3 linked regions of the Drosophila melanogaster genome follow. The protein of the gene in region 2 binds, or shares a complex with, the protein of the main gene of each other region. Each region holds a gene or a part of one and is shown on either strand. Other genes may lie near its edges.

Region 1 (5,754 bases), on a different chromosome or scaffold from region 2:
AGCAGGCTCGCCGCAACGAGCTCAAGCAAAAGGAGCTGGCGCGTCAAACAGAGCTCAAGAGGAAGCTCAAGCAACAGACGGCTGACCTGATACGGTAAGTTTCTAACTGATGGCGTTGTGGTCCATCTCTAATCTCTATTGTGTTTCTTCATTCAGCATCAAATCGATTCGCCACGAGCTAGACGATGAGGAGGAGGACCTGAATGATCTAAAGAAGCGCCGCAAGCAGCGCGCCGAGAAGGCCAAGTTTGAGCCGAAACGCCTGGGGCGTCACAAGTTCGAGGAGCCAGACCTAGACGTAAATCTGCCCGAGGATATCGCCGGAAATCTGCGCAACGTGAAGACTGAGAGCAGTCTGCTGAAGGACCGCTTCCACACGCTGCAACGCAACAATATGTTGCCCACGACAAAGCTCGTCAGCCGCAAGAAGTCCAAGGTCAAGCGCTTCGAGCGCAACTCCCACAAGGAGCCGGGCGTTAGCTATAATGACCTCAAGGAACGGCGCAGGGCGGCCGCCGCTGCAGCCAAGGCTACTGCCAATATCAAGATATAGTTCAGTTATTAGGTCTCTTTATTTTTAACGGAGCTTACAACAATATGTACTTTTCTATAGAATTAAAATCCACATTCTTTTTCCCCCCAAACGAAAAAAATTATGAACTCTAGATCAGGGACTTGCCCTGACTGCGTCTCTGTTTCGGATTGTTCTTCTTTTTCTTCTTGGACAGCGGAGCTGCCAGGTCGCCATCCTCACGCGTCTCGATTGGTCCATCCAGTCGCTTTACGCCACTGAAACGAAAGAGAGGCAAATACGAAATAAGTTATATTTTTTTTAACTGAGTGATGTTTATAATAAAACGAAACTGGAGACAAATAAATAAACGTGGTTATGTATTAAGCACATTATTAAAAAAAATAGGCGCACCTACCTCTTGACGGAGAGCAGCCCGCTGCCACCGCCTGTTCCGTTTGTTTCCAGCGCCTTGGACCAATCCTCTTCGGTGCCCTTGATTTGGAATTCGTCCAGCTGCTCGGCCTTCAGGCGCTTCAGCTCCTTGCGCTGCTGCTTGCTCAGCTTCTGAGCGGTTTGATCCAGCTCCTTGTCGAGGGACAGAGTCAGCGGTTGCAGTTCCTCGCCCTTGGACAGATCCGCCTCCCGCAGCATGCCGCCTTCGATATGCTCCTCCAGTACCGACCGGAAGCACTGATTGCACCGTTTCATGGCATCGAAAAATTTCGCCAACAACTGGTTACCCGGCATATTCAGCTCCAGACCCAACGCATCCACAGTCTTGCCCTGCACGCCCAGAGCCAAAAGGATGCCCTGCTGCACCAGGTCAAGCTGCAGACCATCGATCCTGCCCTGAAAATACAGCTGGGCAATGTCCGTGAGCAGATCGATGATTAGACGAAACTCGGACTGCTGGCGGGCGTAGCTCTCCAAGCGCTGCAGATCGTGCGGCAAGAAGTAAACATCCAGCATTGGCTTATCGAGTACTTTCAGTGCACTACCTTCCGTGTCCACGGACTTGTTCTTCAGCAAGGCCAAACAGAGTTTCGTCTCGAATTCCCTGAACGTCTTTCCCATCAACTTGAGGACTCTCCTGCGGAAGTCCTGGTAGTACAGGCCCAGCCAGGGCGTGGCATTGGGCGTGTGCAGCATAATGCAGCTATGCTCGGCGGTCAGTTCGTTAGATTTCTGGCTCAAATAGACGGGCACAAAGCCGGCGTTCTTCCAGAACTTCAGCAGCTCGGTGGTGAGGCCATAGGATGTGCCAATATAGTCCACGTGTTCCGGGACACGTTCGTGCAAGCGCTGCAGAAGTGTGGGTATACGACTACGTGGCCGGATTTGTTCCTTCAGCAGACTAAGTTCCTCCTCCTCCACTTCCTCGATACCTATGCAAAATTTAAAGTATTATGTAGTGCATAATAAACCATTGGCGTGCGTGCACTCACCTTTACCAGCATCCTTGCTGGCAACTGGACCGTCCTCCAGATTAGTGTGCTTCCTTGCATAGTAGTCCTTGAGCAGCTGAATGGCCCGCTTGCCATAGCCCATCCTCTGGTAATTCGGATGCGTGGCTACCCTCACAATGCGAACGCCACACAGCTTGGGAAAATCTCGATCGCCATACTGCTCGGCTACGTTCCAGGGAATCAGATCGCCCGCCGCCTTCTTGCCCCTGCCCAGGGAATCGCTGATGCTCTGGGCGGAGATCTGACCCTCCAGTGCCACTTGGATAACCACCAATATCTCTGGCAGGGCGTCCATTCGCTGAACCGGACCCAGTAGACAGAATAGATGATGCGCCGGGGCATCGCTCATCATCTGCAAATCGTTTGGTGTGTTCTTGTAGTGCGAGGACACATAAATGGAGACCAGGCGATGGAGAAAGGCCTCGGCAGCCTTGTGATACGAAAACAGGGCGTCCCTGTCCACATAGTACAGTTCACAAGCATCCGGCGTGGGACAGCCCGAGCTAATACTCGGCACCGTACTGGCATCCAAGCACAGCAGGTTGATCAGCCACTTTTCTATGTCGTCGTTCTCCTGATACCGAATCGATTCCTCCAGTTTCAGTGGCGGCCTTGCATTGTTATCCTTTTGCAGCTGGGAAATGAGCTTCAAGCTCAGCGATCTGCCAGTGCCCTCGTATCCATTTATCGTACTGGCCATGAATACCAAATACGGACCGATCATCTTCTTTACCAGCGGCAAAGGAATGGCAGCCGCCTCATCGATCAGCAGAAGATCGGCTGCGTTCAGCAGATGAGTATCGCTGGGAGCTATGTACTGAATGGTCTGCCTGCTGCTTCTCGTAATATTTATTCTTATTATCGCCTTTTTGTAGTCGGCATTGGTGGAGCGTATAATGGTGTAGTCAGCATGCTCCTGGTACTCCAAGGCATCGAAGCCCTTGAGCACAAATTCAAAGAGCGTGATTAAGTTCTCCGGATGCGGTGAGGTAACGTAGATGTTCACATAGCCAAAGGCGACGGCGGCGGCAATCGACAGACCCAGGGCGGCCGATTTACCACGACCACGAGCCGCTGTTAAGGACATGGGCGGCTTCAGTTGCTTGTCGACCAGCGCCTCAATGAACTGGGCAACGGCATTGGCCTGATCGTAGGTCTTGCAGAGATTAACCAGAGCTCCTGCTGGTTGAACTGTGAGCAGGCTCTCCTTCAGCTCCTTGAGGCTAGCCTCGTTGGGCGATCGACCGGCGCCTGCGGGCTGAAAGTTTAGAAACAAATGGTATTAGCTGCTTTAGAAGATTTACAAGCATCAGCTTACATTCACTGGCTCCACGTTGATGGTCTTGGAGCTAAGTGGCAGCACGGTGAGGTCATCGTTGACCACCAGACAGCGCTTGCAGTCCGCCAGGGAGAGAATGAGTCGCTCATTGAATCGACAGGTCACCGTCTGATGGGCTTCTGTGCGGAATCGCTTGTGCACATCCATGCTCATGGTGTACAACTGTTTCAGCGACTGCAGTGTCTTCAGCAGCAGGATGATCAGACCGCCGCCCTCAACCGTTTCCACAGTTCGAGCCAAAAGATTGGGGGTCAGGGCCTCGAAGTCCTGGAGCACACACACGCCGTAGGTTCGTCCGAGGACTGCGTGCGTCTCGGAGTAGTATCTGCCGTGAATGGTGGTGGCCACTCGAAAGGAATCGAACAGGTCCGCCTCATTGACATCCACTTTGCCCACAGCAATCTTCTTTGCTCGCTTTTTGCCATGACTAAAAATGTATCTAGTTAGCTGAGTTTCTGTGTAATAGTTCTACAGTTGGATACTCACTTGGAGATGGCCTCATCCTTGTTCTTGTAGCACCACAGGACCGTGGGTCGCGCCTTGACCGTCGACTTGGTCAGGATGTCGTAAAGAATGGGAACCTGGTCGCGCGCCTTGTCCCCGATGACGATGAACATGGTTCGGTGGCCCAGCTTGACCCCATTCTCGATCATCACGCGTATCCGGTTGTCTATTTTCTTCTTCACCATGCTTCGGCTTTCCTGCGTTCACTTTTCACTTAAAAACTCCGGTTTTCCGAAGTAAATAATGCAAATGAAATTGTTGCCCGTTCAAAATGCACGTGTGCGGTTTAGAGATGGGCGCTTTGTCGATAGTCGCGACTCAACTATCTACTTTACAATGTCACGGAAATCGTCAATCATATTACCATTGTGAAATGCACATGAATGTTGTTTACACGAAGTCTTAAATCGTAGAATTCGGGTGGGATTTGTATTGATGTCTTCAAGAAGGCAGCTTGAATTTCTACCAATGAGATTTTTTTAAAAATTCCCGATTAACACCACATTCGATGTTTTGAGTCAATGCGATACATTTATCGAGTAGTTGTGCATCTCTAATTCCCCAAGCGCACGTTTATCAAAACAGAACATATTTGATTGCTGTCGAGGATTAGCATAAATTGAAGATGTCATCGTGGAAGAATGCGTCGAAAAGCAACCAGAAGGTGCACAGGGAGCGCCACCAGCCGGAGTCGCGCCAGCATCTGGGATTCCTGGAGAAGAAAAAGGACTACAAGAAGCGAGCCATCGACGCACAGAAAAAGCAAAAGACCTTGAAGCTATTGTACCGCCGGGCGCAGAACAAGAATCCCGATGAGTTCTACCACCATATGATCAACTCCAAGCTGTCCAACGATGAGCACCACGAGAAGGACACGAAGGACGAGCACACGCCCGAGCAATTGGCCCTCATGCAGACGCAGGACCTCAAGTACGTGGTGATGAAGCGCACCATGGAGCGCAAGAAGATCGAACGCTTGAAGGCCTCGCTGGTGGACGTGGATGCCATTAAGGGAGCAGCCAACAAACGTATCAAATTTGACGAAGACGGATACATGGAGTTGGACATGGGCGAATGGCTTTTAAAGCATGATGACGAGGAGGAAGAGGAGGAAAAGAAGAAGAAATCGGTAGGTCACCTCTTTAAAACCAACGAGGTTGTAAGCTTTTGTGAGAAACTAATTTATAATTGATATTATACTTATGATTTATGATTCTACTTGTGTGTAACGATTGCCTTTAAATTTTTTGTAGAAAACAACTGAACCAAACCCCATCAAACAGCAGCGCATCAACGAGCTGAAGAAACGCGAGCAGCGTGAAAGGGAACTCGGCATCGTCCAGCAGAAGATTCAGCTGAAGAACACCCTCAAGCAGCCACGCCTACTGAAGCCGAGGAAAATAAAGCCGGGAACCAAGGACAGTGCGCCCGTCTACAAATTCCGCTACGAACGCAAGAAATAGAATATTTCCCCTCTAGTTAATAAAGCAATTAAGTGTTAGTTGAAGACTTTTGACAAAACTATGATTTTTATTGTTTTGGATTAAGGAATTACATATATAATTCCCAATTTTGAATGCAATTCAAATGCAAGTAACAAGTTAAATGAGATATGGCATCCTAGTTTTGGGTCATTAATTCGAATGTTCTGATCAGAATATTTATATATACCGAATAGAATAATATATACCGAAAAAAAACAAGAAAAAGTAAAAGCGAATGGGTATGTAACTCGACTAAACGCTTTTTTCAGATTCGTTAAATATTTAACGAAATTTAGATCTTTCCAGGGCACAAACCAAATTTAGTGCGAGTTTCGTTAAGTTAGGTACGCTTAGCCAAGTCATGACCCCAACTTCAAACTGAATTTAAACATTTGTAATGTTTTATTTAAAAAGTCAGCTTATTTTTTAAATTCATTCTTCTTATCT
Region 2 (4,992 bases):
CTGATTCACAAGCTGGCGAACTTATCGCCTTGGATGACTCACACAATTGATTATTTTGCTCCTGAAAAGAACAGTTTTTTTTTTGTTATTCCCTGATAATGTTTATATATACATATGTGCCAAAATTTATGGTTATACGTATGTATATACCTAAAACAAGCGATGTATTAAGTTATATTAAGATCTTTACCAAATCATTTATTAGGTTCTTTACTGAAAGGTAAATGTTCATTGAATCCTTTACTTTGTGACAGAAATAATAATCATAATAATAATAATATATTAAATACATAACTAATCATTATAATCAAGAATTATTAAAAAGCCTTTGGAGGTCCCTGTAATGCTGGAATTTTTCTTCTACGGTGAAAACTGTGTGCGAAAGTGTTTACTGGAGTGATTACAAAAAAAAAACAAATCCCTGCCTAAAACACCACTTAAATTAAAATTCATTGGGGTTTTTTGACCATCACTATTGTGAAAGATATGATAACAGAATGCAATTCTATTATGATTCCGTAAAAGTTCACGCAAAGACAATTCTTGAGTGCATATTTTGTCTAGACGATTCATACAAAAGGCTAAAAATAGACCAAAAAGCACATTTTCAATAAAATGCAAGCTTTCGACATAAGGTCCGATCGGTAAACAATTTTATAGTAACATGAACTTAAAAAAAAGTTGGAAACAAACTAAGACAAAACAAAAATATTTGTTGATTGAAAAATATAATAACATTTAAATGTTATGTATTCAATGATAATTTTAGTTGTTTGGCTTGAAGGGTACTTTTACAATTGTGTACTTATCAAACTTTTAAATATAAAATTTTAATATTTTTACAGTTTTAATATACTCTAAGATTACTACTGTATTTCTTCTATGAGAATAAAAATCAATCTTTATTATTGTTTGGGATGAAACTTTAAAAACATTTTGTAATTTATTAAGGCTAGTTTAAGAAATGGTTGAAATATAAGAATAAGAAATATAATAAGAAATATATTAATTTAAAACCTCCTGACATCTCCGATTTTACTGTGGGCAAACCAATCAATAAAAGTATTATAATAGAATGGAAAATGAATAAGAAATTAAAAAATTTTAAAAAGAAGTTTTCCCTGCAATAAAACTGAAAGAAAAAATCTTTAGACTTTTTGATCTGCGAACTTCGAAGACTTCAGAATAGTATTGGGTGAGTACGCTACTATTTAGAGGATAGGATCATTATAAATAAAAATATGCAAAATAAACTCTTAACTCCCACGGCAATGATAATAATGGTGTTAATTTGCATGGAAAGTATCGTCATGGTACGGTTCCTTCGTTCGCAATTTATCCGTTAGATCTGCATTGTTACGTTACGTAGAGCAGTCTAACGGTTAATTCGCCAAGACGGAAACGAAGTTGCTGCTTTTATTGTTGTTGGCTGCCACTGATTGGAGAGCTCTTTCGCGCTCACATTGTGGTTGTTGCTGTTGCTGCCACTTCTGTGGGGGAAAAAAGGAAAAGGCAAGGGAAAAGAAGCAAAAAGCATTTCCAATTTGGAGGCATTAAATAGCGTGGGAGCGAGAGGGGTGCAGATATAGACGTACGCCTACGTGCAAATATGCGATTTCTGCTGACGGAAATTGCAAGTTGCGATTACATAGGCACTCATTCTACCTTGATTGCACATGGTCTTATGTATTCCGAAGTGTTTGCAGATGGATAAGAGCCCGTAAGAGTTGTAAAACCTCTGCCATTTATGTGCAGCCCTTTGTTCTCTATCCCCCTCCCTCTTCAATTTTCCGCTTGTACATACAGAAACGAACAAAGAAACGGCTGGCAAAGCAAAAGAAAAGAGCCAAACGCCGACGTCAATGTCGGCGTCGACGCAGGCAGCGGCAGCGACCGACGATGTGGCGACCGAAAAACAGAGTCAGCGAAGAGCGCCTGTTTTAGTGCAACACCAACATTCAACGAGAGCGGTTCGTCGACGCTGTGCGGAAAGATTACAGAGCGAACGAGAGAGACCGAGCCAGAGCGACGACGCCCCGCAACGAGAACAACAAAAGAGCCGAGTGCGCGTGCAAGAGAGATAGCTGACTTGTTGCCCAGTGAGAGGCCGGCGAGAGCGAGACGGACGATCAGTGTGCGAGCGACGAAAAAGAAAACAAAGATACTCGCCCAGAGCAGTTGGCTACCTGTCTTTGGCCTGGTATATAAGTGTGTGTATGCGAGAGAGAGTAAATAGCGGGCAACGCAGCAGTACATAAACGAAAAGCAGCGTGGTCGTTAGTCGAACAAAAACTCTCAAAGCGAACGGACGTGTGCGGTCGGTTGTTTCGATACTCCTGCTTTATCGCTATCCAAACAGAGTGAAGCGACCACTATAAATAACGAAACAAGAAACATGTGTTTATATTACAACCAGAGCTCAAAGCTTCAGTTGCATAATAATAATAATAATAAAAAAGCAATCTGAAGCCAATTTCCTTTGTGTGACAAATGCCGTAGCAGCAACAACAGAAGCACAACACAACTACGTCTGCTGGCTTATGTACGTCGCGCGCGCTTGTGTGTGTGTGGGGCAGAAAACATAGAGCAAAGCATAATACACAATAAAGGTGCCCGCGAAAGCAGAGCAGCCGAAAGTGCCAGCGCGTGTTGGTGTGGTTTGAATGTGCAGGCGAAGTGAAGAAGTAGAAAGAAAATAAAATAAAATAAAAGTGAAGTGGAGCATAGTGAAGAAAGAGAAGCAGAAACGCTGACTCAAAACTCAAGTGTGGATTATTTACTTGGATTATTCCTCTTGCCATTGGATTATTTATGTATACAAGGCGACCACCGCGATGCCAATTAACTGGCTGGATTATTAGTGGATTAAAGATTGGATACAAAGGTACATGATTGGCGTTAATCAACACTGCTCTCGACCGGCAGCTGTTGCGCTCTCCCCCCACCAACCACAGCCCCTCTTCTGTTTTCTCTTGATGACCCCCTCTCTTTCTTTCTCCTTTTGTCCCAGCAAGTAAGAATTTCGATTGGACACACGGCAATTGAAAAAGGGGAGCATGAGAATATGAGCGTGTGTGACTGATTTTTTTTTACTGCTCTTTCATTTAGCAACGTTTTTTGTTTTATGTTTATGTACTTGTTTCTTTGAATGAAAGCAATATGCGAGTGTGTGTGTGTGCGTGCTTGTGAAAGAGGAGATAAAGCCGCAGTCTCGGTTCTGCATTCTCCGAATTTTCGCTGGGTTGTTGTTTTTTCTGTTCCCTGTCACAGTCTCGCGTTTCCCTTCTTTCAACATCCCTTCGCATCCCTACCCACACACACACACACAAACATACGCGAGCATATAAACACACGCACACCACACACAAATAAGAAATTCCGCTGCTTTTTTTTTTATTATCCTTTTCATGTTGGTACTCACTCACATTTTTTTGCGCGCGCGAGAATCCCTGAGACTTTAAACACGGCAATGGAATGGGTTCGGTAAAATAAGAAGGGAAAGGGCCAACAGAAGGGTTCCTCTTTTCGCACAGCACTTAAAAGTGATGTAAAAAGGATTTAAAGAGGCCTGCTGGCAATTTCTTTTCGCCCTCTCCCATATACAGTCATTCATATTCCATTGCCATATTTTCTGTACACAAATATAATTTTCCATATTCTGTGTGCCCCCGGAGTTGAAAAAGTTTTTCCGAAAAGTTTACCGTATGTACCTTGACTTTTTACTGGCGCGTTGATGCAAAAACAACTTGAAGTTGTTTGAAATACACATTTTGTTCGACGCCCCCACAGATCCGCCCCCCACTTTCGATGTACTTGGCATCTGGTTAAAACTCCACTCGGCACTCTTCACTCTCCCCCCTCCACCCTTCCATCCATAATAAAACAAAGCACCCCTGTGCAACTCTGCTCCCCCCTCTTTTGATCCCAAAAGTGCTGTGCATTTCAATATATTCGACGTAGGCATTCCCATGGCAACTACAACATCCATTATCGAGGGCCCCCACATCCATCGACTGATTGCAAATAATAGCTGCCAGATTGCGACTCCTTTCTGTCTACTGCTCAAGTCCCACAAGCTTTAATTTGGGACATCATGTCTGAGTTAAATGCATTTTGATTTCTTTGAGCTAAAGCGTTCTCTAACAAATTAAAGTCAAAGCATATTCACTAAACTCTAAAAATTGAAATGATCTTTAAGTTTCGATGTTCATGCAACAACATATTTGTTTATTTTACTTAATAAGTTCTTGTCTTTGATCATTTATATTGAGTCAGCGTACTTGGCAACATCATTAAAATATTTTCTGAACAGATCTCTTATGACGATCACTGTAGAAACTTTATCACCATTTCAACTATATTAAAACTGATTCACGAAGAATGATGCAAAAGAGAAGATTGCAGTGAGGAAAAATACGATCCCACCGAGTTCATTAACTCTACCAGTTTTCCCAGAAAGTGTATATTTCCCTTGCCTCCATTATTCTATCGTAAACAGCGAGGGGCGAGTGGAGCTTTAAGCTTCTTCGCGCACCAACGAGGCTATACCGATATAGCTTCGGCTTATTGCTTTCTGCGGCTCAGCGTCTGATTTATTTATAATCTTCAGCACGCTCTCTTCTCGAGTCGATTTACATTTTCCATTTCACATTTTCCATGCGCTCCTTTATTCGCATTTAATTTTAACTTCTGGCATTATCTATTTTGCAGATTGACGCTTGTGCGAAAAACAAAAGCGAATTTTTAGCGGCGAGAGTGTATTATTACTATGATGACGCCAGAATCGAAAGCAATACAGCCGGCAGCAGCAACAACAAAGCAAACAGCAGAAGCAACAGCAACAACAACAATGGCTCACACACAACAAAAGTCGCAGTTGTCAACGTTGGCGAAAACAACAACGACAACGGCAACGAATAAGGCGGCCAAAAGCGTTGTCAGCAATGCAAATAGCAGTGGCAACAATTCGAGCAAAAAGCTGGCTTTGTCTCA
Region 3 (5,015 bases), on a different chromosome or scaffold from region 2:
GTTTTTTTTTTTTTTTTTTTTGTTTAAGCAAATATGGCTACTTGGTAAATACAAAAATCTGGTTTTAGTCATTCAAAAAAGTGTGAGACAAATGCGGGAACTAGCAAACAAAAACGCTCTTATTAAATAATCATATTTACAATGTAAACATAAAAGATGACTTTCGAGAGTGGCAGAAACAAACGCGGGAAAAGTAAATATGACTCTGAGGTAACGATCACCTTTAACTCGGGATAATATCAAAACTATAGTTCCGACTTAATCACAAGGTCAAGCCTGAAGATATGTACCATGTCATTTCAATTTCTAATTAAGAATTGTGTACCCTGGTTAACTTTTAGGTAGAGATCCCGAGCCCGATCCCGATCCCAATCCCTATCCCGAAAATATTCGTTCTTTTTGTGGACCTTTTTCCGAACCCGCCCTTTTTCAGCGACAATGAACATTTGGCCAACTACTTAACGGACTTTCGCATTCAACGAATGAAGAGAAAGGAGCTGCCTGACAGCCTTCGCATTTCACATCGATCTTTATCTATGGGTTTTCGAATTTCCATGAGCAGCATGGTAGTCGCACTCGTTTTCCACGTTCAACGTTCGACAACAACAGCCCGGAAAACTAATTTAGCCACGCAGCTGGCACCGTTCGATATTATTGTAAAAGGGCAATAAAGCCGATGCGAATTGCAGGCGAAGTTCAAGGACCTTTCCATCGAAATGCTAAAAATGCTGACAGTTGGGAGCAACACGAGATGGTTAGTGTTTTATACAGTAGTGCTCAAGCTAATAGGATTAGTGGACAAACGTAAATGGCTGAGTACTCCACATGGTAAGGATGTTTTTCTAGAAATAATTAACTAATATTACTTCCTGAATCAGTTCCCTGATATAGTTCAACTATGAATGATCTAACTGGAGAAGCGTGGTTTCAAGGTCCTATTGCATTGACCGCGACTGTGATGCCCGGCAGTCCAGAGAGCCTGATCCCCACCCCTTTCCATCGCCCAAAAAGCCCGCAAGGCCCATAAACAGCAAGAGCATAAAAAGCATGAGTGCAAAAAAGACAGAAAAAGGAGCGAAATGGGTTATAAAAGCCGGTAAAAGCATTTTGGCAACCCTCATGTCGCTGCTACCCCGTAAAAGAAAGGGAATATGGGGTGGGTGGTCCAGAGGGGTGGAATACTCGCCACAGGGTGGTGGGTGCGCGTGTGCAAGTGTGTGTAAGTTAAGCTCACGGCCGCACGCTGCGAAAAACCTCTTGAGAGAAAAAAAAAGACTGGTTTCCATGTCGCCATGGAGTAGGGTACATACATTCGAGCTCGAGTGTGTGAGAACCCCCGTAAAACAGCCTGCTTGCAATCGGGGGGAAAGCAGTAGCGGTGGGAAAGGAATGATCAAAATGCGGGGCAGCACACACACACACAGACACGCCGATAGGGGTGCGGGGGAAAGGTCGCGCTCAAATCAAACATCACCTCCAGTGGATTCGGGCGTGCAAAATGCGCGGGAGCGAGCGAGGAGGGGGGGGGCCTTGACAGCCTATTGATTGATACACAAACGAGTTCTGCAATCGAAGAAGATGAAACAAATGTGAGTGAACGAGATGAGGCTATGGCCAGGCCGTACACACAGTCACATAAACTCAGAGCGAGTGCGGTGTAGCGTAGGTGTAAACAGAGTTGTCAACTATTTATTTACAAAAACTGTTGTGCTTTAAACGAGTCTAAAATAATTTAATCATTCTGGTTTATTTTCTTGCCACGAACAATTTAAGTTTGTAGGTAAAAATTAGCATTCAGTGATAACGGACTGTAAGAAATATAAAAGTATTCAATAAAATTGAATCTTCGTTAAACCGGAACACAGATTTCTCAGATTCGTTACAGCTGACAACCCTAGACTGTTTATTTCGGCAGAGTAAAGCAAAATGTAAGCAGGGTTGCCGCAGCAACAACAAAAACTGATACCTTTCGATATAGAACTTTTGTTTTCTTTATGTTGCTTTGTTGCGCGAGTGAGAGAGGGTTGCACGGAGAGACGGAGAAATCAACCACCACCAGCCGACGCACACACACAAATGCAGACACGGGCATGCATTGCGAAATTCGTTGTTAAAAATGCAACAACACCGCACAGCGGGGGGCGTGTGTCGGTTGGATGATGAATGGCGGAGAGGGCGACGGAGGGGAAACTCGTTTTGGGTTTCATGAATTTATTTTCTTTTCTTGGCCCGCCAGTCGAGCGCATTTTATGATGACAGAGAGCACAGAATATCCACTCGCTGCATTTTTACGAGCATTATGATTAACGTGTCATTATTATCCGAATACGATATAGAATCAATATCCAATGCTCAAGAGCAGATTAAACCAAAAATTGTAAACAAAAAGCACAAGTGCAGGCAGTACAAAAGCAGTGATAAAAATAAAACCAAACTAAACAAAAAATACCTTTTTTGCATAAACTTCAATGCACGACGATCCATTATTCAAAATAAAAACAATATTTATAATAAATTATAGGTATGCATGCGTCGGCTTAGGCGTTTTGTTTTTGTTTTCGGCGGCGGCGGAGACACTCGTGGTTGTTTTTGTTATAGTCGGCATGGCGCTTTCTTTTTAGTCCTCAGTTTCTTCTCTTTTTGCTATTTGCCGTATTATATTGTACATTAACAAACACGCACATGTGTGAAGGCAATAAATATAAACATACAACAGGCAACACCAAACATATACATATGTATGTAACGTGGAACGCAAGACAACAAAAGTACACAAAACGAATACGAAAATCCGACAAAAGTCCCAGTGTCTCGTGTGTGTGTGTGTGTGTGTGTGTGCTTGCGTGTAAATGAGTGTTTCGTGCACGGGCAGTAGTAATTAGTACAACCTCCACTCACAGTCACTCCACTTCAACTTCTCCCCGCTGGCTGCAGGCACTTTTCTTTTTCTCAGTGTAACGACTAAGCACCTGTGCACGCGATCTTACATAAAATTAAGCCACAGTCACAGCACTAAGTACTTGTTTTAACTGCACTGCCTACGTCGCCAGCGACGATTCGCCAGCTAGGGGCTCCACTGTGGCGCGGCATCACTTTTTATGTCTGCACATCTGCACTAGCTAATCAACAGCACCGTTAGCTCTTTTTGAAAAAAATTTAACAAATTTGCAGGGTATCCAGTGAGTATGTCGCGTCGGCGGGTTTTTTCTTCGTTCAATACACATGCGATGCGGTATGCGACACATACGACACCACACCAACACGAACGCAGAGAGAGCAGAGCGCAAGAACCGTACACCGCCAAGTTAAGTTTCAAACTGAACCGCGCGCCACAGCGACAACTCTACTTTTCGTTCGGATCGGAAACAAAATGAGCGCATGTGCGCTGAATATGTGTGTGTGTTGGTGTGCAGCTGGATCCGCTTCTCTCTTCTCAGATGCCGTTGCGACTAATAACTTTTCTCTATACCGAAATGCACGGGTGCGAGTGCGACGCCACTAGGAGTGGCCCTGGCCAGTTAGCGCGTGCGAGAGGGATGCCGTGCGTTCGCTTGGGGTTGGAATGAAACGGCAGCAGTTCGTTTGACAAAGCAAAACCAAAACGAGTAAAAAAAACAGGAAGACTACAGCTGGCGGGCATGTGTATGCGTGCTCAACCACCCCGACTGAAAGCCCCCTTCCGTTGCTGAAAACATAACATGGTCTGGTGACTCGACTTTCAAATACCCCTTTTTCATATACCATTCCTCGCTAACTTCAGTCGTATCCTTAAAATGAAAACCCTTCTTAAATATTTATTTGTAAGTTATTGGTGCTGACTACTAACACAAATTCCAGTTAAAACCAAGTGCCCAGTATACCCTTTTACTTTGTGGGTACCGGGTATGTACATACATAAATACGCGCGAAGCCAGTTTTATGTGTGTACACTCGAATGTCTACCGCCCGGCCCGACTCGACAACGATTGTTGCTATACTTCATCTTCTTTTTTCGTGCCATCACAACCACCACCACTACGACTACCTTCCTACCTCTACCTCCTTTCTCATTCCTTCTTTTTCACATCAGATCGGGTCGGATCGGCTTTACCTTATTATTAGTTGTGCTTGTCAGTAACACACGGGTGTGTCGGTTGAGAAGGGGAGGATAGCGTATGCGCAGAGGCAGAGCGAAATCTTATTCTCTCCACCCCATTGAACAGTGGTAAGCGATCCATTATTATTGGATTGCTTTACAGTTGCAGTTTGAGAACCAAGAGTACAGTGGGTCAATTTTTTAGAACAGCAATTTTTCCAAACTTTTTATACATATAAACAATGTTACGATAAGTAAAATGAAAACGTTTAGTAAAATAGAATTATATAATAGACATACGTATTGAGTTGATTTATTAAGTTTTAAGTTTATTAATGTTTCAAATATCCACCACTCATGACCCACTGTGCCTGTCTTTGTCATTTCATTTTTCATTTTGTGCCAGCCCGTGCGTGTGTGCATGCACCATTTGTAGTATGTGTGCGTTGCTTTGGGCTCTTGTTGGTCTTCTTCTTACTCTTCCCACCTCATCCAACAACAACGTCGCTGAGCCCCACAAATGTTTTCATTCCGATTAGCTTTTTGTTGGCTTGTCTCGTCTCGTTTCCTTTTCTTTTTTGCTGCCGCCATATTATTTTTAGGCTTTTTAAGTGCTTTTGCTCTCTCTCTCTCGCTCTCTGCCTTGCTTTGGTTGTTCTCATTCGATGTGTGTGTATGCTTGTTTTTTCGGAGCTTTTTTTCTATTAGTTGTGACCTCCTCCTTCGCCGTTATTTCCCTCTTTCGCCTTTTCCTCACAAGTTCAACACAACAAGAAGTCGAGCATGCGCTTTTCTTCTTGCCATTTATAATTGCCTTCAACTTATTGCTCCTTGTGTTTGGGGCGAATGGTACTCCTAGGGCATGAGCGAGAGAGTCGATATTTGCATTTCGTAAAAATGACAAATGCCTAATGAGCGTAAATTGCTGCGCGTGCTTTTG

What was found.
Region 1: Psc (region 2) and l(1)G0020 share a complex: the UniProt entries of both Drosophila melanogaster proteins name them as parts of the PRC1 complex.
Region 3: Psc (region 2) and ph-p share a complex: the UniProt entries of both Drosophila melanogaster proteins name them as parts of the PRC1 complex.

The regions. Positions count from the first base shown.
Region 1 is NC_004354.4:8,716,158-8,721,911, forward strand, and holds l(1)G0020 (lethal (1) G0020), read right to left. Parts: upstream 4,121-5,754; 5' UTR 4,009-4,120; coding exon 3,806-4,008; intron 3,747-3,805; coding exon 3,299-3,746; intron 3,239-3,298; coding exon 1,960-3,238; intron 1,900-1,959; coding exon 930-1,899; coding exon of another isoform or gene 926-929; intron 909-925; exon of another isoform or gene 790-908; coding exon 663-789; 3' UTR 556-662; downstream 1-555. Other genes in the region: CG1785 (uncharacterized protein), read left to right, coding at 1-94, 157-553; CG1789 (uncharacterized protein), read left to right, coding at 4,449-4,952, 5,077-5,286. UniProt on the Drosophila melanogaster protein: RNA cytidine acetyltransferase with specificity toward both 18S rRNA and tRNAs. Catalyzes the formation of N(4)-acetylcytidine (ac4C) in 18S rRNA. Required for early nucleolar cleavages of precursor rRNA at sites A0, A1 and A2 during 18S rRNA synthesis.
Region 2 is NT_033778.4:12,977,940-12,982,931, reverse strand, and holds the start of Psc (posterior sex combs), read left to right. Parts: upstream 1-1,937; 5' UTR 1,938-2,884; intron 2,885-4,710; 5' UTR 4,711-4,768; coding exon 4,769-4,992. UniProt on the Drosophila melanogaster protein: Polycomb group (PcG) protein. PcG proteins act by forming multiprotein complexes, which are required to maintain the transcriptionally repressive state of homeotic genes throughout development.
Region 3 is NC_004354.4:2,133,568-2,138,582, forward strand, and holds the start of ph-p (polyhomeotic proximal), read right to left. Parts: upstream 3,056-5,015; 5' UTR 2,485-3,055; coding exon 2,450-2,484; intron 1-2,449. UniProt on the Drosophila melanogaster protein: Polycomb group (PcG) protein. PcG proteins act by forming multiprotein complexes, which are required to maintain the transcriptionally repressive state of homeotic genes throughout development.